Linked DNA regions of Callithrix jacchus. The protein of the gene in region 2 binds, or shares a complex with, the protein of the main gene of each other region. Links are inferred from orthologs where the notes say so. Each region holds a gene or a part of one and is shown on either strand. Other genes may lie near its edges.

Evidence for each region.
Region 1: RBM10 (region 2) and MYSM1 share a complex: the UniProt entries of both Homo sapiens proteins name them as parts of the large chromatin remodeling complex. The link is inferred for Callithrix jacchus from reciprocal best matches to the Homo sapiens genes RBM10 and MYSM1.

The regions. Positions count from the first base shown.
Region 1 is NC_133508.1:95,753,290-95,757,100, reverse strand, and holds part of MYSM1 (deubiquitinase MYSM1), read left to right. Parts: intron 1-587; coding exon 588-776; intron 777-1,784; coding exon 1,785-1,917; intron 1,918-3,811. UniProt on the Homo sapiens protein: Metalloprotease with deubiquitinase activity that plays important regulator roles in hematopoietic stem cell function, blood cell production and immune response.
Region 2 is NC_133524.1:48,107,172-48,111,668, reverse strand, and holds the start of RBM10 (RNA-binding protein 10), read right to left. Parts: upstream 2,947-4,497; 5' UTR 2,721-2,946; coding exon 2,651-2,720; intron 839-2,650; coding exon 697-838; intron 1-696. Other genes in the region: NDUFB11 (NADH dehydrogenase [ubiquinone] 1 beta subcomplex subunit 11, mitochondrial), read left to right, coding at 3,510-3,716. UniProt on the Homo sapiens protein: Binds to ssRNA containing the consensus sequence 5'-AGGUAA-3'. May be involved in post-transcriptional processing, most probably in mRNA splicing. Binds to RNA homopolymers, with a preference for poly(G) and poly(U) and little for poly(A).

The DNA.
Region 1 (3,811 bases), on a different chromosome or scaffold from region 2:
ATTTTTATAGAATTCCATGAATATAATTAAAATACAGACTTTACCTGTGATATATATGAGAATATGCAAATATTGCATAACTTGCTACATTTGCAAGTTATATATTCTCAGAAGTGACTTAACATTCCATATTCTGAGCACCTGTTTCTTTTTACCACCAAGAGAGAACATTGCCAGGCCTTGGCTCCTCATTGCCTTTATTAGTAAAAAGGTACAACTTCTAAGAGGCCAGAAATATATACCAACACTTGTAGTTGAAAGTTTGTATGCATGATTCTGTTGAAATTATTGTCATAAGTAACAGGTGTCATTGAAAGAATACCTTTGTACAGGAATTATATGGTCTGACATGGAAAACTAGCCATTATTATGACCTTGTATGAGTAGAAAAATGCATGCTAAGTTTCTAGCATACAATCAGACTTTTGGAGTATAAGTCATTTGCAAGTTAAAGGCTAACTGTGATATTGTCAAATAAAAGTCTTGACCTTGAAAAGTTTCTGTATCTCTGAAAGAATTATAACATTAGAGTAATAGAATTAACAGGATTTTCATATAATCATTTGAAGATCAATTGTTTTTTATAGGTCTGTGCAGCAGAACCATGTAACAGTCTGAGTACAGGACTACAGTGTGAGATGGATCCTGTATCACAAACACAGGCCTCAGAAACCTTGGCTGTTAGAGGCTACAGTGTTATTGGATGGTATCATTCTCATCCTGCTTTTGATCCCAATCCTTCCTTACGAGATATTGACACACAAGCTAAATACCAGGTATTATATGGATATATTCTGTAAGTGATTGCACACCCCCTCAGTGCTTCGCTTTACACAGATAAATTTTAAACATTTTTTGTTTTGCATTTCTAATATTCTTTATACTAGGAGTTCTAAAAGAACATGCATTTTTTTTCTGCGAGATTGATAAATGTTTATGTAAACATTTAGAAAGTCAGTTATTAAGTACAGCCAAGCCATGAATGTTACAGTGATAAATACTCCTAGAACCTTTAAAAATTAATGGGAGCAACTAGAACTGGAACTAAATATAATTGAAATAATAAGAAACATATTTTTTATAGCTAAAGAAAAAGTTTCATTTTCTGGGATTTTATATTTGATATGTGACTGGGTTTGCTGTAGGGTATTTGTAAATTATTACCATATTGATAAGAATTATAGATAAAGCATGGGGAATATAATTAGTAAATATATTCATGGCAAATACAGATTGTGTAGGCCAGTTTTTTTAAAGGGTGATTTCAGATTTGGTTGAACACATTTTTGCCTGAAAAATTTACAGTGTGAAATGAATGTCTAAGGCATTTGATTTAGTTGCAGTTTGGATGTGAACTTTTTTTTTTTTTTAAAGAGACAGAGTCTGACTCTGTCACCCAGGCTGTAGTACAATGGTGCAATCTCAGCTCACTGCAACCTCGGCCTCCCAGGTTTAAAGGATTCTGCTTCCTCAGCCTCCCAAGTAGCTGGGGTTACAGGCATGTGTTACCACGCCCCAGCTAATTTTTGTGTTTTTAGTACAAACGGGGTTTCACCATGTTGGCCAGGCTGGTCTCAACTTGACCTCAAGCGATCTGCCCGCCTTAGTCTCCCAAAGTGCTGGGGTAACAGGTGTGAGCCATCACACCAGGCCAGATGTGAACTTTTTAATGTACCTTTCTGTTCCTGCTTTTCCCCATTAGATGTTTAAAATGTTAGTATGGATAAACATTGGCTTTTAAATTTATATAGTTGAAACTAATTATATTTTTCTTGTAATTGTAGAGTTACTTCTCCAGAGGAGGTGCAAAGTTCATTGGAATGATTGTTAGTCCTTATAATCGAAATAATCCCTTACCATATTCTCAAATTACCTGTCTGGTTATAAGTGAGGAAATTAGCCCAGATGGCTCTTATCGTAAGTTTTCAACAAAAAATAACTTTATTCTACTTTTACTCTCATTTCTTTGACTTATACAAAACAAAAGATTTGCAACTGTGCAAAATTATTTAATGTCAGAGTTGGTGGCCTCAACTAGGGAATTACTATTTGGGTGCCACCTAGTGTAGCCACCCTCTTCCCTTTCATAATCTCCTGCTCTAGTCAAGTCTCCACTTTTGGTACTATGGCCACTGGGCAAAAGGATTGAAATATGGAGAAAAGTTAGGCCAGGCAGTGTATATTTTAGGCACTGGAGATGCTGCAGTAAACAAAACAGTCTCTGTTCTCATGGAAATTGTTTTTATAAATGCAGACTGGCTTTCTCTGTGATGGCATGCAAATGAAAAAAAAAATGACCACCAGCTCTCTCTTTACCTCCTAGTTTAGGGTTAACAATGACTAACTTAATTTGTATATTTCTTTGTTCCCATTCTATCTCAGGAAAGAATTTGGTTGGCATAGGCTGTCATCTGATTTGATTCCTCTGAGGTTTATATCTACTTGTGGGCAATCATTTCTGGGTGGATAGGGAATTACTATAGCAGACTAGGGAAAGGAAGGGAATGTGGACAGAAGACAAACAATAAGAGGAAACAGTAGGCTAAATAACTCTAGGATATTTATTCTATTATTACTACCACTACTCTAGGTCAGGTCCTCTGGACACTGTTACTACAGTTACCCCACATTGTACTCTTCCCCATTAGATCTGAGCCCTTTGAGAATAAATACTGTATCGTACCCATTTTTCTATCCGGTTTCTAGCACACGGCCTGGTATAAAGTAGATACCAAACGAATGTTTGTTTAATAATTAATTTCTCTTCATTCTTTTTTTTTGGAGACGGATTTTCGCTCTTGTTGCCCAGGCTAGAGTGCAATGGTATGATGTTGGCTCACTGCAATCTCTGCCTCTCAGGTTTAAAGGATTCTCCTGCCTCAGCCTCCTTAATAGCTGGGATTACAGGCATGCCCACTATGCCTGGCTAATTATGTATTTTTAGTAGAGATGGGGTTTCACTATGTTGGTCAGGCTGGTCTCGAACTCCTGACCTTGTTATCCACCTCCCAAAGTGCTGGAATTACAGGAGTGAGCCACCGAGCCCAGCCTAATTTCTCTTCATTCTTAATGATCTCACTTGGATGCCCTATGTTTGCTAATGACTTACCAGCACTGCCCCCATGTTATTACTGTTAGTTGCTCTGTTCTTTATGTATTGCAACACTTTATTCCTGCCTTCATGGTCACTTTATCTTTTAATGTAGTTTATCTGTTTAGCAAGTCCTAATAAACTGCATGCTCAAAGAGCAGGGACTGTGTCTTTTCTTTTTTCTCCAGTAGCACCTAATAAATTGCTTTGCGTCTAGGAGGTGGTCAACACTATGTGGGTTTTTACTGGATTAATAATACTCTGGAATGTCCAATCTGAGCATAGCACATAATACACATTATTCCTTAGCTCAGTACAGTTTTATAAAAAACAGTACCACAATTAACTTGTTCTCTCTTTAAATCATTTTATAATCCCATAGACTGCTAGGTTTTGGAAATAAACCTCAATTCTGGTGCTGTCCAATACAATAGCAGGCACATGGCACATGTGACTTTAAATGTAAATTGATTAGAATTACATGAAATTTAAAATTTCGTTTGTGGAATTCTACTTTGGCAAAAATGAAGTAACAAGAACCTGTCTGAAACTACTAGAAAACTGGACAAAATGTATAAAATATTGGTATTTAAGCACAACATTGAGCAGCAAAGGAATACAATTGCTAAGAGATAGGAAACAAATGAAAAGAGCCCAAAATTACCCTTGCTTACTGCTTATGAGGGTTTTTAGATATGGCACAAGAAGGAGAAACCCACC
Region 2 (4,497 bases):
CACTGAATTTTACTCAGGATTTCTGAATTTTACCCAGTGTTTCAGCTATTCCTTGTTCATAGCAGAGTTAAAGAAATAACTGAGAGTATCCATTCCAACTAAGTATCATGCCAACTGTAGCCCACACAGTCCCTGGAGTCTCCCACTACCTGACCTGGCTTGTTCCCTAGTGGTCCTGAGCAAATTCTGACTCTGATGGCGCCATTCCCACCCATCCCTCATACCCCAAGCTATAGCCCCAACCTATAGGGTTGCTCTGCTGCTGCTGCTCCTCCTCCTCCTCCTCCAGTGGCTGCCATCACCTCGCTAAACGGTACCACACAAACATATCAAGGTCGTCCAAGCTGGAAATCTGGATGTCAGTTTTGATTCCTCCCTTTCTCTTGATCCTTTCCCACCCTCACATCCAACCATGGTACCCACCAAGGTGTTCTTAACCACCTGTAAACTGCATGGCCTCCCTGTGACACCCTGAGTATTGAGAAGGATGCATCTCATGTCTCATTCATCACTGCATTCTCAGAGCCTAGCACAAGTCCTGGCTCACAACAGGTGCCAAATACCTGTCTGCTGAAAAGAAACCCATCTGCTATGCTGTTTCCTCTACCCAGAAGCCCCATCCTAGCACCTTCTTGGATCGATTCTCACATAGAGGCAAGCCTAGGCTGTTTGGAAGGCTGGGAACAGATAACTCACCGTCTTTCATACTCCATGTCCTGATAGGACCTTCGGGGGCTGCTGGGGCCCCTCCTCAGCCGCTGGCTCCGTTTCACTTCCCAGCCACCCCCACTGCTGCTACCATGATCTGCCAGCCTGGGTGATTCTTCCTGCAGGGACTCTGGGAAGAGTGAAGGGAAGAAAGGGGTCAAAGCAGTTGGGGCAGAGAGGGTCTCCTTGACAAAGATTGTTGTCAAGGCTCTCCGCCTTGTCTTCCAGATCCCAGCACTCCTGTGCATCATAATGTGAAGGTACCACATACTTGGCCTGCTCCTTCCTTTCCTCACAAACACGAGGCTAGAGCCCACTGCCCTAGAAAACAGCAAGGCCTTCAGCAGACAGAGGGCATCTTGGAGAAAGACCTGGCGATGCCACACACATTGTGATCAGGGCTTTGCCACCTGAGACAGGTAGACAAATTCAAGCCTGGGGATGCATCCCAGGGTGGGGGTAGGGGACTCTCAGTGCTGAAAGTCTTGCTGACATTCAGCACATCAGGCAAGATCTGATAACAATGGGGATCCCACGCACGCACCAGGCTCCTTCCCTGGGCCCCAAGGTACCATCCCATCCTCCCAAGAAGCTGCTGGCTGCCCCCTTTAAGGAAGCAAAAGGCCATGAAAGGCTCTTGGGGGTATGTGTGAAGGGGGTAACTTGGCAACGAGACAGCTGCCACCTCCCTGGGCTCCTGGCCAACACAGCCTTGGCCCTCACACAGCAAATGGCTCAGCCCTGAGCCCTGTCTCTTATGTGCAGCAAGGTCCCAAAGTGATTGTCTCCCCAGGGCTCAAGCCTATTTTCCACAGGCAAAAGGGGCCCTTTTGGAGGCTGTTCTGAACCACTGTTCTCTACTGGGATGGAGCAGCAAACACTTCATCCAACCCTCAGGGCTATGGTGAGAACTTAGGGAGTCCTGAGAACCGTGTGACCCAGCCAGAGGTCAGGATGAATCCCAGATCTTCGGGCCCCACCCTATGAATAGGGATCAGGTAAAGCTAGGCAATAATAGCACCTGCCTAACTCTAGGTTGCTGCCACACCTTTGCTCTATGCGTGCACATACACACACTCCAGTTTTCTCTTCCTCCTCAAGCCACAGGGAACCCGAGTTACCTGCTCCCAGGTGAGCAAGAGTTAGAATCACACCAGAGGCACTGGCGGTTGAGAGCCAGATCCAAAAACCCTCAAGAGACTCTGGCAAAGGGGCCAGAGTCACACAGTAACATCTACCACAGCCAAGGGCCAGTCACAGACACGAGCCTCAAATAACTACGGGCCCACATCACAGAAGGAACCCACAGTAAGGGCCACAGTTACACACACACTGGGTCCCCTTTCCACAGATAAGCATCAGTGTCACAGATAGGAACTCCCCAAAAGAAGCGGCAACGAGTCACACACACATTCCCTGAATCCCCCTCTCCACCCAATAAGAGGGTTTGGGCCAGTCACAAGACAGTCGTCCCCCCAGCCCCGCCCCACAGATAAGGACCAGAGTCACAGACACACACCCCCCACCAAGGGTAAAGACCAGAGTCACATCCTCCCTCCAATCCTCCAGGAAAAGAGACCAGAACCACAGAACATTTCCCCATGGACCAATACACACCAGATTTAACACAGAGCAGCATCCCTCGCCCATGCACAAACTCAAAGTCGCAGACAACCGCTTACCCACGAAAAAACTTCGGTGTAGCGGACACAGTGATCCACGGCAGCCCACTCCCATCCGTCCCTCCCTTCCCCCAACCCGCGTGCACCCAGCCAGTGTCCCAGTCGCGCACGCGCCTTTGCTCACACCAAAAAAAAAAAAAAAAAAAAAACACCACCCCCTCCCGGGTTAAGACATTGCACGCACCCCTCCGTTCCACGCATCCCCCCGGCCCGAAGTCCGCCCTCGCGCCTCCTCTACGTCCCCGCCCCGGGCCCCTTACCTCCGCCCCCACGACCAGCGTCGACGCTCACCTTCTCGGCCCGGGCTGTCAAGGGAGGGCTCCCAGACATCACCTCCGCCCGCCGCCACCTCCTCCAACTCTCCCAGCTCAGCCGGAGCCGGAGCGCGCAACAACCAAGTCCGAGGCTGCGGGCAGATCGCGGGGAGGGGAGAAGCGCCAAGCGCGCTGCCCTCCCAGGGAAACTCACTGCCGCCTACTGCCAGCCGGCCACAGTCATCAGCTCAAAATGGCGACGACAAGAAGGGAGTCGGCGCTCCGACCACCATCCACCTACTAAGGAAGCGCGCTCTGGCCAGCCCCGGCGATTGGCCGCTGCCCGCCAGGGGCCAGCCCTAGCCTCCTCTGATTGGTAAGCGCTTGCCACCTCCTCACACCCTGTGCGAACGCTCCCCTAGTCGAGAAAAGGAGTAGCTATTGGCCAATCTGGCAGGGCCCGCTTTTTAGAAGCCTGACTTCCTTTGAAGATGAAAGACTAGCGGAAGCTCCACCTCTTTCCCCAAAGGGCGAGGGAACTCTCTGGGCGATTGGTTGAGAAATGTACCAACCCGAATGTCACCGATTTCTTCCTATCCAGGAAATTAGCAGCCCCATCGATAAGAAATCAATAAGAAATTTCTCAGCCTGGCCGAAAGAGTGAGAGAATGGTTGGCACCACAAAGCCATGACAACTGGAGGCAAAGAGGATTGCTCTACGCCCTGCCTCATTAGAAAACAAAATCAGATCTGGGACCTATTAAGCGGGCGGGGACGGAGCGATAATTGTCGCGCTCGCACCCACTGCAGTTGCGCACAGTCGCATTTCCGTCTCCGCCCCTGAGCCCCTGCAGCACCGTCTGTCATGGCGGCTGGGCTGTTAGGTTTGACCGCTCGCCGTCTTTGGGCGGCAGCGGCGACGCGAGGGCTCCCGGCCGCCCGCGTCCGCTGGGAATCCACCTTCTCCAGGACTGTGGCCGCCCCACCCGTTGCGGCGGGAAAGCGGCCCCCGGAACCGACCGTGGAATGGCAAGAGGACCCAGAAACCGAGGACGAAAACTTTTATGAGACGGTGAGAGGGAGGGGAAAACGGAACGCCGAAGGGGTCAATCCGGGAGCGACAGTTGGGGTGCTGTAGAGGACGTTCTTAGTCAGTAGAGGACTGCGTGGTCGGCGAAAGAAGACGTGGGAATTTTGCCTACTTTGTGGTCCTCCTTTGTCTCTGGGTATCGAACGAAGGTTCCAGGGCCAGAGACAGGATTGGTTTTATTTTGCAGACAGAAACCACACCTCATGTGGACAGCAGTCAAAACACATTAGAAGCAATATAATACAACAACAATTATACTAAACACTGATATGGCAGTTGCTCGTTGCCGTCTGCGTTCCTTTTTTTTTTTCCTTAGAGACGAGATCTCGCGATGTTGCTCAGGCTTGTCTTGAACTCCTGGGCTCAAGCGATCCTCCCGCCTTGGCCTCCCAAGGTGCTGGGGTTACAGGTGTGAGCCACTGCTCCGGCCCCTGTCTGTGTTCTAAACACTCTACGTGGATTAACTCATCTTATCCTCAAAACAACCCCGTTTCAAGGTAGGCACTATTATTATACTCATCCTACAGACGAGGAAACTGAAACACAGCGATGTTAAGTGGATTACCCAAGCTCACATAACTGAATACATGGTGGAAGTGGAACTGTTATTTGAATTTAGGACTACCAGATCTGTTGTGCTGTATTAATAGCAGATGTTTTGAAATCAGGCAGCACTGACGGTTACCCACCCATGTGATCTTGGGAAAGTAGCATAACCCGTTGGTGCCTCACATTCTTTGTCTGTAAGATGGGAACAGTAATA